2 linked regions of the Anolis sagrei genome follow. The protein of the gene in region 1 binds, or shares a complex with, the protein of each later gene. Links are inferred from orthologs where the notes say so. Each region holds a gene or a part of one and is shown in the gene's direction. Other genes may lie near its edges.

The links.
Region 2: TERT (region 1) and NOP10 share a complex: the UniProt entries of both Homo sapiens proteins name them as parts of the telomerase holoenzyme complex. The link is inferred for Anolis sagrei from reciprocal best matches to the Homo sapiens genes TERT and NOP10.

Annotation. Positions count from the first base shown.
Region 1 is NC_090024.1:105,809,968-105,818,572, reverse strand, and holds the start of TERT (telomerase reverse transcriptase), read left to right. Parts: upstream 1-5,325; 5' UTR 5,326-5,326; coding exon 5,327-5,548; intron 5,549-8,053; coding exon 8,054-8,605. UniProt on the Homo sapiens protein: Telomerase is a ribonucleoprotein enzyme essential for the replication of chromosome termini in most eukaryotes. Active in progenitor and cancer cells. Inactive, or very low activity, in normal somatic cells.
Region 2 is NC_090026.1:13,100,796-13,108,719, reverse strand, and holds the start of NOP10 (H/ACA ribonucleoprotein complex subunit 3), read left to right. Parts: upstream 1-4,479; 5' UTR 4,480-4,584; coding exon 4,585-4,638; intron 4,639-7,924. UniProt on the Homo sapiens protein: Required for ribosome biogenesis and telomere maintenance. Part of the H/ACA small nucleolar ribonucleoprotein (H/ACA snoRNP) complex, which catalyzes pseudouridylation of rRNA.

The DNA of each region.
Region 1 (8,605 bases):
TATATTGACATTAAACAATGAAGGAAAGTCATTTGAAGTCATCAGTAGCTAGACTAAAACTGGAGGTAGCAAGATACATTTCTAGAGGAGATTGTGTTTAAAGTCTGGTGAAAAGAGAAATCAACTTTCCAATTGCCTTTTTTTTGGTACAGGGATGTAAACTTTTATAACTATCCTTTTTATAAATTTGGATGCTGCATTTATTAATTAAATAATCTCCCTATTTTTTTTGAAATGTAATTTATTTTAAGTATGTTTGGAATGCAAGTGAAAAAAGATCTTCACTTACACCATTGCATGGAATCGAACAGAGCTGCAATGCTATCTGTCCTATATTGAGGTAAATGCCCGCTGAATTCTGTGGGATTTTTATTACTGGACAGAAATGTATGTATCTGCAGTTTTAGTCCCTTGGTATGAGCTCCTTGAGCACTGCATTGCAAACATAGGTCTTTTGTGCATGTCAGTAAGGGATCTCTCTGTGCATGTAGGACCACTTGCCCACCCCACTGGATGGGGGCTTAGGGGTGCCATCTTGTGCCCAATTATGCATGCTTAAGCCCATTGACGTGAATGAGACTTGAGCATGCTTTATGGTGATCCTTGTTGCCAAAAGAATTTTGCATTTAATACCACTGAATGCACATGCATGTTTTCCCCATTAATAACACCCCGAAATCCACTTATGGTTAGCATCAGGTGGCTTGTTGTGGGTTTTTAGGGTAGATTACTAATGGGTTGGAACTCAACTAAGTAGTTAAGTCCTAGTCCCATTCAAGGGAATGGAAGAAACTAATTAATTTGTCAGTGGAACCAAAGTGTGACAAATCTAATATGCAGTGTCATGTTCCTAGTATTTTTTTAAATGACAATGTTGGCACCCAAATACTTGATTTTTTTTCCTACTACCTTTATTCTATAAAGCAAGGCTTAAATTAATGTACTGAGTGGGTTTGGCCATGATCTATCCAGTGGAATACTTCTAGGTCCAAAAAAAAAAAAAAATCCTGGCAGAAATACTAATATCCCAGGTTTCTTTGTCTGGTTGGTGTATCAAAGTACAGAGGATCCATGCTTAGCGGAATAATTTGCAGCACAGTTATTATTTCCTTGTTTTGTTTTAAATCTTGAATGAAGAATGTAACATCTTATTGTCCTATCAAAGAAGAAAAGACCTGATTAGCTTCTTGTTGAGTCAGTGACCTTTGTTCCCTTCAGTCTGTGTACAAAATAAACGTTCATGCAGAGAGCCCAGGCTCTGATTATACTTCTGAAGATGTCTGTGGATTCAGTGTAAGGTTCCCATTTAATTTAGCAGTTGATTCAAGTTGAAGTTGAGAAATGATGCATTCTGATACATACATTTGATCCATTCTACAGTTATGAAGCTGCTGAGTTCTGGAAAATAGTCAAGAGAGATTCGCAAAAAAGTTTAGGTTATTTATTTTATTTATTTATCGTGTCATCAGCAACCATACCATTGTATTACAGTTCTAACAGAACAAAACAAACACACAGATTAAAAACAAAAACAAAACAAAAACACAGATTTTGCAAACTTGGTAGTTGGTTAAATGTCCTTTGACCAGTATCTGGCCACTTGGAGTGCCTCTGGTGTTGCCGCAAGAAGGTCCTCCATTGTGCATGTGGCAGGGCTCAGGGTGCATTGCAGCAGGTGGTCAGTGGTTTGTTCTTCTCCGCACTTGCATACCGTGGATTCCACCCTGTAGCCCCATTTCTTAAGATTGGCTCTGCTTCTCGTGGTGCCAGAGCGCAGTCTGTTCAGCGCCTTCCAAGTCGCCCAGTCTTCTGTGTGCCCAGGGGGGAGTCTCTCATCTGGTATCACCCATGGATTGAGGTGCTGGGTTTGGGCCTGCCACCTTTGGACTCTCGCTTGCTGGGGTGTTGCAGCGAGTGCCTCTGTAGATCTAAGAAAACTATGTCTTGATTTAAATTGTTGACGTGCTGGCTGATACCCAAACGGGATGAGCTGGAGATGTCTCTGCCTTGGTCCTTTCACTATTGGCTGCTACTTCCCGGCGGATGTCAGGTGGTGCAATACCTTCAGATTACGTGTCTTGACCCCACACTATGTGACCTTTTCCCAATTTCATTTCATCTATGAAGCAGATCTAGGCAAGTTGCGATTACTCTCCTACCCCAATAATTTTGGTTTATGTGTAGGGAATATTGATGATAATAATAATAATAATAATAATAATAATAATAACAATAATAACTTTATTTACATTCCACTCTTATCTCCCCAAAGGGACTCAGGGCAGATTCCAAACATAAAAGGCAAATGTTCAATGCCTGAATACAATACATCCATATTAACAAAATTTAAACAACCCAACATATAAACACGAATTATAACTTAACAACTAAAATTAAATAAAAGAAAAAAAACTGCCTGTTACGACAGACATAAGACAAAACATATAGCACGTGGAAAGATTACAAACCAGTGTGTTTACGATCCGAACCCCTTTCAAAGCCACGACTTATGCCGACTCCTTGAATTTCATAGGGTTTCTTCAGGTGGTTTTGCCACTTCCTTCCTCTGAAATAGTGCATTTGTTAACAGCCTCACATCCCTTCCTTAGCTTCTAAGATCAGATGGGATCTGGAGCAGCACTTCCCAAACTTTGGTCCTCCAAATATTTTGGACTTTGTGGTCCATAATTCCTGACAGCTGGCCAAGGTAGCTGGGACTTCTGGAAGTGGAAGTCCAAAATATCTAAAGGAGTAAGATTGGGAACCAACTGCTTTCAGGTATTTAGGTTCTTAGGGTCTCTATAATAAATGTATTCAATATGCGTATGTGTTTTTAACCATATAAAATCCAGATTATCAAATTTGAACTGGATTATTTGATTTGATAATCTGGATTATATGGCAGTGTAGGCCCTGCCTAGATTCTCCAACAAACTCTTTAACACTCCTCACTTTACTCCCTTTGCTTTCATCTTGTAATTCAATCTATTTTACCAAATGTATTTTAATTCAATCTAGTTTTCCTATGTTTTAATTTATTTTAGTTAACTGTTACAGGAGTTTTAGGATAGTGGTTAGTGTCTATTTTTGGTTTTTTTTTTTGTCTTTTATTGTTGGTTTGGTCAGTGGACTAATCAATAAACAGGGTTATCTGTCTATCATAGGGGCTCCTTGAGTGACTCTATGACCTTTTGCCCATTCATTCCTCTGAGACCCCTTCTACGCTGCCATATATTCCATGATCTGATCCCAGATGATCTGATTTAAACTGGATTATGAGTCTCTACTGCCAGATAATTTGGGATAAAATAATCTGGGATCACATCCTGGGATATAGGGGCAGTGTGGAAGGGACCCGAGGCTGGATCTACACTGCCATATAAATCCAGATTATCTGTTTTGAACTGGATTATATGCGTATATACTGCCATATAATCCAGTTCAAAAAGATGATCTGTATTTTATATAGCAGTATAGAAGGGGCCTCATATAATCCAGTTCAGAGCATTTAATCTGGATTATCTGTTTTTGATAACATGGATTATATGGCAATGTAAAAGGGCCCTAAGTATTTTTGTATTTTTAAGGACTCTGCTATTTGGGGGGAATTCCCAAATTTAGGACACTTCTACATTGCCATATAATCCAGATTATATAAAAAAAGTAATCCAGACTACATTCTTTGAACTGGATTATATGAGGCCTGCTGAAAGGGCCTCATATAATGAGGCCTGCTGAAAGGGCCTCTCTTTTCACATTCTCAGAAGTCCCCTTCAGGCTTGGAATGGCGGCATTCAACCCATGAGTTGAATCTCCCTGAAAACAGCTTTATTAGCTGCCAGCAAAAGCAAATGACAGCAATTGTGCTCAAAACAAAATCTGGCTACTAGTATTAAAAACTCTAAAATCATAACAGGTGGGAACCCCAGGTTTCAGCGGTGACCAGGGGAGCATTTGCACAGCTAAAGCTTGTGCGCCAGCTGCGCCCATACCTTGGGAAGTCTGACTTGGCCACGGTAGTCCATGCTCTGGTTACATCCCGTTTAGACTACTGCAACGCTCTCTACGTGGGGTTGCCTTTGAAGACAGCTCGGAAGCTCCAACTAGTCCAACGCTCGGCAGCCATGATTTTAACAGGAGCGGAGCGCAGGGAGCATACAACCCCCCTGTTGCGCCAACTCCACTGGCTACCAATCTGCTACCGGGCTGAATTCAAAGTGCTGGCGTTGGCCTTTAAAGCCCTAAACGGTTCCGGCCCTAGCTACCTATCTGACCGCATCTCTGCCTATGAACCCACGAGGAGTTTGAGATCTTCCGGGGAGGTGGGCTCTCCGGGGAGGTGGGCTCTTCCGGGGAGGGCTCTTCCGGGGAGGTGGGCTCTCGATCCCACCTGCTTCTCAAGCTCGGCTGGCGGGGACGAGAGATAGGGCCTTCTCGGTGGTGGCTCCTTGGCTGTGGAACGCCCTTCCTACGGACATTAGACTAGCACCATCTCTAATGGTATTCCGCAAAAAGGTGAAGACCTGGATGTTTGTGCAGGCGTTTGAGTAATTTAGTGCAATCTGGTAATGGAACATAGGAATGGAACAATGGACGACGAACCTGGACTACGCTTGGATGATGAGAAGATTGGGTACGGTTGTTTTTTGTAATAATTGTGCATTGTAATTGCTTATTGGTAATTTATGGATAATGTGTTAAGTCAATTGTTATATGTTGTATGGAACCACTGCTGTTTCTACTGTTTTTACTGTTTGTGAACCGCCGTGAGTCGCCTTCGGGCTTGAGATACAGCAGTATATAAGCAAAGTAAATAAATAATAATAATAATAATAACAGTAAATGGAGAACAACTTTCAAAAACAGGAGAACTCCAGACAAGAAACCATCAGGGACAGCTAATCACCTTTCAACAAAGGATTCCCCCAGGCAGTAAGAAGCTACACCTTGAAAACTCCTGGGCTAATCAATGCTAATCAAGGTGACCAATTGAAACATTCACACCAAATTTCCAAAATGAAGAAAACCAGAGACATTGGAATGGTGGGCAGAATGTGTATCCCATATATCTGTCACTTTCACTCATACCTGACACTGAGATTGCTGGTAAATAAAAGAAAAGAAATCGCTCTGAAGTAGGAGCAGAAAGGATGCTGCCCCTTTAAGGATTGCTGGACTGCGCCCCTCGGCATCCCTCACCCTTGCATATGCGGGCGTCGTACTTCAATGACTCCTGCCTGAAGAAAACAGAGGGCGCCGCGTTTCCCGCGCTTTTTCCAAGCCCGAGAGGGGGCGGGGCTTAGAGGGGGCGGGGCTTGGCCAGGCCATGGGGCGCCCGCGGGTGTGCAGGCTGCTGCGGGGCTGCTTCGAGGAGGTGCTGCCCTTGGAGGCCTTCGTGAGGCGCCTCCAGGAGAAGGAGGCCGAAGCCTCGGGGGCCCCGCTGGTCCAGGAGGGGGATCCCAAGTGCTTCCGAGTGCTGGTGGAGCGCTGCCTGGTGGGCAGGCCCCGCGGGGGGAAGGCGCCCCCGCCTCGCTTGAGCTTCCAGCAGGTAAACAGCCCTCTCCAGGCCCGCCCCTTGCCGTGGGCGCTTCTCCTCAGCACTGCCTGGGGAGACACACAGGGACCTCTCCCGCAAAAATACTCCATAGTATGCACACTGAGGCGCTTATAACTTGCCCTGGAAGGCTGCTGGCTCCTTCAGGGGAGCACAAGCTGCCCCCAAACATTTTAATACAAGCGCGTTTTCTGAGTTGTATGGGCAGTGGGGACATCCAGCTGCCAACCCTGGATGGCGAGGCACTACGTCCATCATCATTGGTAAAGAGTCTGGGAGTCCTTTTGGACCCTCTGCTGACGATGGAGGCCCAGGTATCCACCGTTAGCAGAACTGCCTTCTTTCACCTACGGCAGGCTAGACGGCTGGCCCCTTACCTGTCCAGCGACGACCTAGCTACGGTGATCCAGGCCACGGTCATCTCAAGACTGGACTACTGTAACGCCCTCTACATTGGCCTTCCTCTGTCGGTGATCCGGAAGCTCAAGTTGGTACAAAATGCAGCTGCTCAGCTTCTTGCGGGAACTCCGATGAGATGCCACATAACACCAAACTCACAACAGCTGCATTGGTTACCAATTGAGCACCGGATCACTTTCAAAGTGATGGTACTCACCTTTAAGGCCTTGCATGGTTTGGGGCCGATGTACCTCACCCCCTACCAACCCCAGAGATCCCTCTGTTCTGAGGACCAAGATCTATTGGAAGTCCCCAGTGTCAAGACCTTGTGTCTAACAGCAACCAGAAGCAGAGCCTTCACAGCAGTGGCACCATCGCTCTGGAATACTCTGCCACCCGAAGTCCGTGCCTTGTGGGACTTATCAGTTTTCCACAGGGCATGCAAGACATACCTATTTCGACAGGCCTTTGATTTTTGATATTGCCGTTTTTAAATTGTTTTAAACTGCTTTTAAATTTTGTTAGATTTTAACTATTCTTGTAAACTGCTCCGAGGCCCAGGGGAGTGGCGGCATATAAGTTTAAATAATAAATAAATAAGCATTCTCTCCTGACATTTCGCCCAGGTATCCTCAGAGGTTGTGAGGTCTGTTGGAAACTAGGCAAGTGGGGTTTATTACAGACTAGCTTGGGGACCCTGCGTGTCCTGGGTTATTTGAGAAAGTAATTGTGTATCAAGCTTGGTCTTTATCAGTTATTTATATACAGTGGTTTCAGGAAGTTAGTGAAGGTACTGCGAGTCCCATCATCTGTGGTCCATCCTCCTCCAAACTACACCAGGATGGAGGCTCTGTGAGCCAAGTTTGGTCTTCATCAGTCACAGGATGAGGGTCGCAGTGGTTTCAGTGAGTAAAGGTACTGCAAGGCCCATCATCCATGGTCCATTCCCCCTTAGAACTGCATCAGGATGTAGAGTGGGTCATGAGTACTCTGTGTGCCAAGTTTGGGCCTGGTTTGTGATTTGTAGAAAAGACTTAAAAAGCCACAAAATAAAAATTACAATGCATGTGCAAAACATGCAAACACACATATACACAAATGTTTTAAAAAAAGGTTGTCCCCTGACATTAAGTCCAGTCATGTCTGACTCTGGGGTGTAGTGCTCATCTCCATTTCTAAGCCAAAGAACCAGCGTTGTCCATAGACACCTCCAAGGTCATGTGGCCAGCATGACCGCATGGAGCACCGTTATCTTCCCGCTGGAGCGGTACCTATTGATCTACTCACATTTGCATGTTTTCGAACTGCTAGGTTGGCAGAAGCTAGGGCTGACAGTGGAAGCTCACACCGCTCCCTGGAATCGAACCTGCGATTTTTTGGTCAACAAGCTCAGCAGCTCAGTGTTTTAACCCATTGCACCACCGGGGACATACACACAAAATACATATACACAGACTGGACCACAGTAACGCGTGGTAGGGGACGGCTAGTAACATAATAAAATTCAACAGAAAGGGCAGGTCAAATGCACGAGATAAGATGTTAAAAAGTTGAAACCCTGGGTGAGATAGGAATAAAAGTATATTTATGAGGGAGGAGTCAGGGGGGCAGTGGGGTTTGGCTTTATTAAGGACAGGTTGACAGTGCATCATGAGGACAATTGTAGATGGAAACAAACAAAATGGGTTGAACGGTCACTCTCCAAGGGCACATAGGAATAGCCAAGTTTTTAGATCTTTCTTAAAGAAGCTACTCTGTTGGAGGCTTTTAAACAGGCTGGATGGCCATCTGTCAGGGGTACTTTGATTGTACATTTCCTGCATAGCAGGAGGTTGGACTAGATGTCCCTTTGGAGAGATGGAGGTGGGGTACAAAAATAAAGTTGTTATTATTTGTGGTCTACTGGACTGCAGATCCCATCAGTCCCAACCAGCCTAGGCAAAAGCAAGGGAGGATGGGAGCTGCAGCCCGACATCATGTTGTGGGCCACACTTGCAATACATAATTTAGGACCTGTGCCCCAAAATTTTAATGCCAATCCCGCGAAATCCTAAATGACAATGAATGAAATATAGTCATAACGTTTTTGTTCACTTCCAGATTTCTAGTCAGCAAGATGTCGTTGCAAGAGTCGTTCAGCGAATCTGTGAAAAGAACAAAAGGAATGTCTTGGCCTTTGGCTATTCTCTATTGGATGAAAACCATCTCCCGTTGCCCGGCATGCCAAATGTCTACAGCTACTTTACCAATTATACCACAGAAACCATTTTTCAGAGTATTCTCTGGGAGTTGATTCTGAACAGAGTTGGGGATGATGTCTTCATGTATATATTGGAGCACTGCTCTCTCTTTATGTTAGTGCCACCTAGTTGTTGTTACCAAATCTGTGGGCAGCCCATTTATGAAATTGCATTCAAGGATGCATCTCCCTCTCCTGAATTCCTCAGGCAGAGGTATCCTGGGCCAAAACACAGCGCCTTGACTGGTTACCTGCAAAGAAGGAGGTTTTCATCTTATAAGCAATGCCCAGCAAGAGGAAACTGGAAGGAGTTGCATCCTAGAAGAAAATTAGGAAGGAAAGCAATATATGTTTTGGAGGGCAGTTATCCACAATCTTCAGTGGTTCAAACAGTCAAGCAGAATTTTACAGCG
Region 2 (7,924 bases), on another chromosome or scaffold:
CCAGGGAAGGCAGGCAGAAGCAGCGAGGGGGCACTAGGAGGGCAGGAAGAGAGGGCAGGGCCTGGAGGGTGGACCTGAGAAGACATGGCCTTAAGGGTGAAGGACCCTGAAGGAAAGAAGCTGGGGCCTGTCCTTGTACCGCCTGAAATTCTGATGTGAGAACGTTGGCAAAAAAACAAATTGGGGAAGAGGGATCTCTAGAGGATTCACAACACCACCATTTGGTTTCTAAGAAGATCCCACATTGTTGACGTGACTCTAAGGGCAAGGGTTGGATGATAACCATTCCAGAACTTGGACATCTTGAGAGTTCCATTGAAGGGAGGAAGTTAAAGTTTTTCTACAGACCTTTCCATGGTTTCTAGCTTCATACTGTTTTTTGAGCGCATACTATGGGAGATCATGAATTGGGTGAGTACATCTTACCACTATAATGAATGGGTGTTCCACTGGAGGTAAGCAGCATTCCCAAGTAGGACTTCCAACTTTTCTCCTGGGCTTTTAACAACTTGATGAGAGGAATAGATGATTGCTACAAAAAAGAAAAGGTCAGTAGATGATATATCCATACCATATTACATGTTATAGAGTGAGCCAAGGCACCCTTTCTGGGCATTGTTGGTTCTCCCTTTGACCGTGAAGATGTGTGGTGCATCTACTTGCTCTAAAACATGCCAGAATTACCTACCTCCCCTGATATCACGTCTCCCCAAAAATGGTGCCAAAGGTGACATGTGTCCCAAATGTGGTCAAAGACAAAACAGCAAGGGGTTAGCTACAGGAGTTGTTTATGACCACAGACTTGACTCGTGGTGTCTGCTCTGACATCGAGCAACTCATTGTAGGCCCAGTGTTATGCCACTGGAGGGCGAGGTACATCTATATTACAAGTTTAAACCAAGTTTAACTCTCATGGTGAATGTAATTTTGTGGAGATCGTTGTTATGCACCTGCAAGTTGACTCCAGCTTATGGTGACTCTGTTCTAGGATTTATTCAAAGGGGTTTGCCAGTGCCTTCCTCTGAAGCTGAGAGAGTGTGTCTTGCCAAGATCACAAACCGACTGAGAGAGGATTCCAATGGTGGTCTCTCCTTCCAACAGTAATATTATTTTAAATGGAAACATCTGGGAAACATTTAGAATAGGTTGCAGCAGTTTGCTTTAGCCTGAGCCCCTTCTACACTGCCATACCATCCAATTCAAAGCAGGTAATCTTGATTTTATATGGTAACACAGAAGGTGCCTTTGTCTATTGGGAAAGATTCTGTCTTTTCCTTTCCCACTTCTCAGGCCCCTTCTACATTGCAATATAACTTCCAGATTATCTGATTTGATAATCTGGATTATATGGCAGTGTAGAAGGGGCCAGAGTTATCTGGCAGTGTACTCTCACATAATCCAGTTCAAATTAGATAATCTGGATTATATGGCAGTGTAGAAGGGGCCTCAGTTAACTGAACGCAAACTATTTTTGACCTTTGAGCTCTCTTTGCATCAATTGAAGTAAGATGAAGACAAAGAGGGAAGAGAAAATGGGACATTTCAGAAGCTACTGGAATGACTGTGGATTAATTGGGGCCCCTTCTACACTGCCATATAAAATCCAGATTATCTGCTTTGAACTGGATTATGTGGCAGTGTAGACTCATATAATCACATTCAAAGCAGATAATGTGGATTATCTGATCTGATAATCTGAATTATATGGTAGTATAGAATGGGCCTGGGATTGTTCCTTCCAAATCAGGATAGTTTCAGAATATGGAATTGCACAAGTATATATTTTTTAAAGTATTAAGAAAAAGAAATGTCAAAAGCAAGCATTTTATAAAATTTTACTGTATTCTGTACTTTCTGTACCTGTAGGCCAAACTACAAACATTGAAGTTAAATGGTTAATGGATTTGTTCATATTTATTTGTTTACACTATTTATATTCTGCCCTTCTTACCCCACAGGGGACTCAGGGCAGATTACAATGTACACATTCAATACCAAAGACACACAACAGATATAGACAGACAGTCAGAGGCGATTTAACTTTTTCTGGTCACCAGGGGAGCTGTCTCTTTCATCGTCCATCTGCGACACTGATGAAGTACTTCCGCATTCCCCGCATGCTTTTGCTGGAGTGCTTTGCTGGAGTGTTTTTTATGGCCTTGTACATTTTGTTAAATTTGCCTCCACACACATAGGTGGTACCTATTTTTTCTACTTGACAGATGCAACTGTCTTTCGGGTTGCAAAGGTCAACAACAAGCTACACAATTGGTCGGAAGCTCACTCCGACTCAGGCTGGCTTCGAACTCATGACCTTGTCATCAGAAGTGATCTTAATGCAGCTGACACTCAAACACTGTGCCACAGTCCCGGTGCAGTGTCTTATTTGCTTGCTTTCTTTTCTCTATCCACTGTTTGGGACAACAAGCTGCGTCAAATAGAAACATGACCTGAGTAGATTTAGACAGAAAAAAGATATGTAATTTATATATAAATATGAAAAGTTTGTTTCTCCACACCCATCATGCAAAAAAAAAAAAAAAATCCTTAGGGATCTTCTAGACAAGAAAGAAATACAGTAGAGTCTTCCTTACCTAACATAAACGGGCCAGCAGAACGTCGGATAAGCGAAAATGTTGGATAATAAGGAGGAATTAAGGAAAAGCCTATTAAATGTCAAATTACAGTCAGAAGTCAGATTCAAAAAAGTTATAGTAGGAAAGTATCCATTCTACACAACCAATCAGAATGAGAGCAGAAAGAGGGAACAAAATAAATACATTCCAAACTGTCATTCAGGAGACATGGTTGAAAGGGAAGTCCCTCATCCTATACTAAACTAAGTGTTCCTCGTTGAGGACTTGAGACTTGGGCAGTGTGAGGCTGAATTCCAACACTGAGAATATAACTGTGTAAGAAATGTGTTTTCGCCATACACAGCATTGAGCCATAGCAGTTAAAGTGGTGTCAAACTACATTCATTCTACAGTATAGAGATGCACCCTAAGCTTGACTTGCCAAAAAAAAAAAACAAAGTCAAACTACGAGGGTTGAATGAAAAGTAATGCTTCCATCTTCGTAAGTCCTCAACAGATGGCAGTACTGGTATGCAGCAGGTACTGGCTTGTTCAGTAGATGATCCTCTACAGTTCCATTTTGGCGGGAAGCTTTAGCATTGAGCGGTTGTGTTGTTAAAGTGCGAAGTATGGAACCCTGCGCAGACAGTCGGTCAATGCGACTTAAGCAACGTGCAGTCATTGAATTCTTGACAGCAGAAGGTGCTACCCCAAAGGAGATTCCATAGAGAATGCAAGCTGTTTATGGTGGTTGTGTTGATGTGAGTACTGTGCATCATTGGGCAAGTAAGTTCAAAGATGTTGAGGTGGGAACATCTGACTTGCGTGACAAAGAGTTGGACGTCCTGTGACAGCAACCACCGAGTTTCACAAGCAAAAGGTTGAGATTGATTCAGGACGATCGCCGTATCACTCAGAGAGAAATTTCAAGCATAATCGCCATTTCACTAGACCGTGTGGATCACATTATTGCTTTGCTTGGCTATCGGAAGATCTGTGCATGATGGGTACCGGGATGAGAGAAGTGTGAGATGCTGGTTGCGGAAACGAGTGTCGACTTCTTCCGTGACAGTGTCAGAAAACTTGTCCATCGTTGGCAGAAATGTATCCAATGGTCTGGTGATTCTGTGGAAAAGTGAATAGTGGTAGTTAAAGAGCACATTCTAAGGATTATTTATGCGTTTCATAGAATGATAGAATCAAAGAGTTGGAAGAGACCTCATGGGCCATCCAGTCCAACCCCTGCCAAGAAGCAGGAATATTGCATTCAAATCACCCCTGACAGATGGCCATCCAGCCTCTGTTTAAAAGCTTCCAAAGAAGGAGCCTCCACCACACTCCGGGGCAGAGAGTTCCACTGCTGAACGGCTCTCACAGTCAGGAAGTTCTTCCTCATGTTCAGATGGAATCTCCTCTCTTGTAGTTTGAAGCCATTGTTTCTTGTCCTAGTCTCCAGGGCAGCAGAAAACAAGCTTGCTCCCTCCTCCCTGTGGCTTCCTCTCACATATTTATACATGGCTATCATATCTCCTCTCAGCCTTCTCTTCTTCAGGCTAAACATGCCCAGCTCCTTAAGCCGCTCCTCATAGGAGCCAAGCAACGAAGGTGGAGGCATTACTTTTCATTCAACCCTCCTACATTATTTCCAAAACAATTGGAAAACTTATTTAAAAACTGTTGAAAGGATTAGATGATGGGAGAATAAAAGGAATGCTAGATGAAAGACAGAAAGATGATCCTTTCAACAGGTAGAGAAACAGATTCCTTTTGCACGAGTGCATGTTTACAGTAGGAAAACTACAAATCCCAGCAGGCATTGGGCAAGAAAGGCGAAAGACTACAGCTCCCAGAATGCTCAGGGAAGTTTTCTTTTGTGCCTGTTCATTGGAGGATGGGAGGAAGAGGTGGAGTTTGTTTGCACGTGTTTTGCAGGAAGAGAAGGGAAAGGGAAATCGGTTTGGAATCCGAATCCTGTTGATAAGAATCGTTTGCTCCGGATTTTGCAGCTATGTTCCTGCAATTCTACTTGGATGAGCGAGGGGACAGGGTTTATACCCTCAAGGTAAGGGTTTTACATCCCTGGGGGTGTGTGAATGTTTGATTCTGGGTGCATCTGCACTGTGGAATTAATGCAGTTTGATACCACTTTAACTGCTATGGCTCAATGCTAGGAGTTGGAGTTGTTAGACTTCTATGCCAAAGAGTGCTGTTGTCTCACTAAACTAAGACTCCCAAGCATGGGCAAACTTGGGCCCTCCAGGTGTTTTGGACTTCAACTCCCACAATTCCTAGCAGCCGATAGGCTGCTAGGAATTGTGGGAGTTGAAGTCCAAAACACCTGGAGGGCCCAAGTTTGCCTATGCCAGTTCTATATCATTATACCACAGTCAGCCCTCCATATCCACAAATTTTGCATCCAAGGATTCAGCCTTTCACAGCTTGAAAATATTGCAAAATATCCAGAAAACAAAGCTTATTATTTGCCATTTTGCATATGGTAATTTCCAGTATAATTTAACCTTGAGTCACACCAACACAGCTGTATAAAATCCATATTGAACTGGATTATATGGCAGCGTGGACTCTGATAACCCCGTTTAAAGCCAATATTGTGTATCATCTGCCTTGATATTCTGGGTTATATAGCTGTGTGGAAGGACACCTAGAGATTTTAATTAAATCAGTAAATTATCAAATCCACAAATGTGGAAGGACAACTTGGAGTAAATCTTAAAGGCAAACGAAATCCATAGCTATAGGGAAACCATCAGAATGCCTCATTGTTGGGACTGTCTTCTATGGCAAATTCTCTCATGGCTAAACATTCCTGACTGTGAGAGCCGTTCAGCAGTGGAACTCTCTGCCCCGGAGCATGTTGGAGGCTCCTTTTTTGGAAGCTTTTAAAGAGAGGCTGGATGGCCATCTGTCAGGGGTGATTTTAATGCAATATTCCTGCTTCTTGGCAGGGGGTTGGACTGGATGGCCCATGAGGTCTCTTCCAACTCTTTGATTCTATGATTCTGTGATTTACTTTACTTCTAGGATCCTCCAAGCCAATGAGTGGACAGGTTTAAACGAGTCCATTGAGTCTGTAGCAATGGCAGGCTTACACCAATTCAGCGCCGTAATTGAATAGTTCCGATGTTTCAAAGATCAGATAATTCCCAGGTTCATCTATAAAAACACAATGGCTTGCCTTGTGTAGTACGTCCTGGGTTCCAAGTTTGCATGAAGTCTGTAAATAAATAGTTCAGATGGTTCAGCTGTCAGTTAAGGTAAAAGTTTTCCCCTGACATTAAATCCAGTTGTGTCCAACTCTGAGGGTTGGTGCTCATCTCAATTTCTAAGCCGAAGAGCCGGCATTGTCCATAGACATAGGGGTGTGGAGATGAGCACCACACCCCAAGGTCATGTGGCCGGAATGACTGCATGGAGTGCTGTTACCTTCCCGCAGAAGTGGTACCTATTTATTTATTTATATTTATCGTGTCAGGAATGAACCAAAACAGTTGTATTGCATTAAAAACAAACAAACAAAACACAAAGTTTGCAAGCTTGGTAGTTGTTTAAATGTCCTTTGATCAGTAGCTGACCTCTGGTGTTGCTGGAGGAAGGTCCTCCATTGTGCATGTGGCAGGGCTCAGGTTGCATTGCAGTAGGTGGTCTGTGGTTTGCTCTTCTACACACTCGCATGTGGTGGAGTCCACTTTGTGGCCCCATTTCTTAAGGTTGGCTCTGCATCTCATGGTGCCAGAGCGCAGTCTGATCAGCACCTTCCAAGTCGCCCAGTTTTCTGTGTGCCCAGGGGGGAGTCTCTCATTTGGTACCAGACATTGATTGAGGCTCTGGGTTTGAGCCTGCCGCTTTTGGACTCTCGCTTGCTGAGGTGTTCCAGCAAGTGTTTCTGCAGATCTTAGAAAACTATTTCTTTATTTAAGTCATTGGCATGCTGGCTGATACCCAAACAGGGGGTGGACCGGAGATGTCACTGCCTTAGTCCTTTCACTATTGGTTGCTACTCCCCGACGGATGTCAGGTGGTGCAATACCGGCTACACAGTGTAATTTCTCCAGTGGTGTAAGGAGCAGACACCCCATGATAATGAGCATGTCTCATTAAGAGCCGCATCCAATGGTGAGATGTGTTCCACACTGGGCATGCATACTCAGCAACAGAATAGCAAAGCACAAGGGCAGATGTCTTCACTGTATCTAGTTGTGATACCCAGGTACCAATTGATCTACTCACATTTGCATGTTTTCAACTGCTAGATAGGCAGAAGCTAGGGCTAACAGCAGGAGCTCACCCTGCTCAAACCGGCGTCCTTTTAATCAGCAAGTTCAGCAGCTCAACGGTTTAACCCACTGTGCCAGCTGTCGGTTATGCACCAATAAAAACACAATAAAGTTACTATCACACTTTATTGCTGAAATAGAGGGAAATTGATGCACAGAGTACAATGATTATAACAAAGAGCTTTGCAATATACACAGTGCAATAAATATTTGTGGAGCTTCCAGCAGCCAGTCAAAACTATCATTCTGAAGGCATTTAATTTTTTCATATTATTTTCAACCAATATTTATTTATTTATATATTTATTTACAGTATTTCTATACCGCTTTTCTCACTCCTAAGGGGACTCAAAGCGGTTTACACATAACTGGCAAAACTTCAATGCCATACATTGGACACTGACGTGATGCCAGTCCATAACAACCACAATAATAGAACAACAATTAAGCATAAATCATAATTAGACAGTACATAAGCAATCGTTAAAACAATAAATAATAAAAACAGTCTCGCCAGTCGTATTGTCATTCTAGTCCATGTCCTATAAACTCTACACACATCTAATCTACAAACATTAAAGAATGTTTTCAGTTCTCTGCTGAGCAGAAAAATTATTGCTAAAAATTTCTAGCAAAATGAAATTGTTCATGTCCTATAAAATACAGCATATACTAGCGTTGTACTTGCTCACATAATGTGATTAAATCATTGTCGTTTCTGAAGGTAATTCATGCACAGTACTGTTTTAACTGTGTTTGTTAATGTATTAATCTTAAGCAGTCTTAACCATTGTATAATTCACAGAAATCAATAATACACTTTAGCATAGAATATAATGTAGAATTACTTTATATGAGTTCTCCCTTACAATTAGTTCTGCCCCCTTATCTCACCCGGGGCTTTTTAAATCATTTTATGTACATGCGGCCCGCCCTCTGTCATTTTGTTATTATGTTTACTTCCTATGTTCTGTGTATATTGTTTTATATGCTTTGATGTTTTATTTTAATGTTATATTGTTTATTTTATTGCAATTTGTATTGTTATTTTGT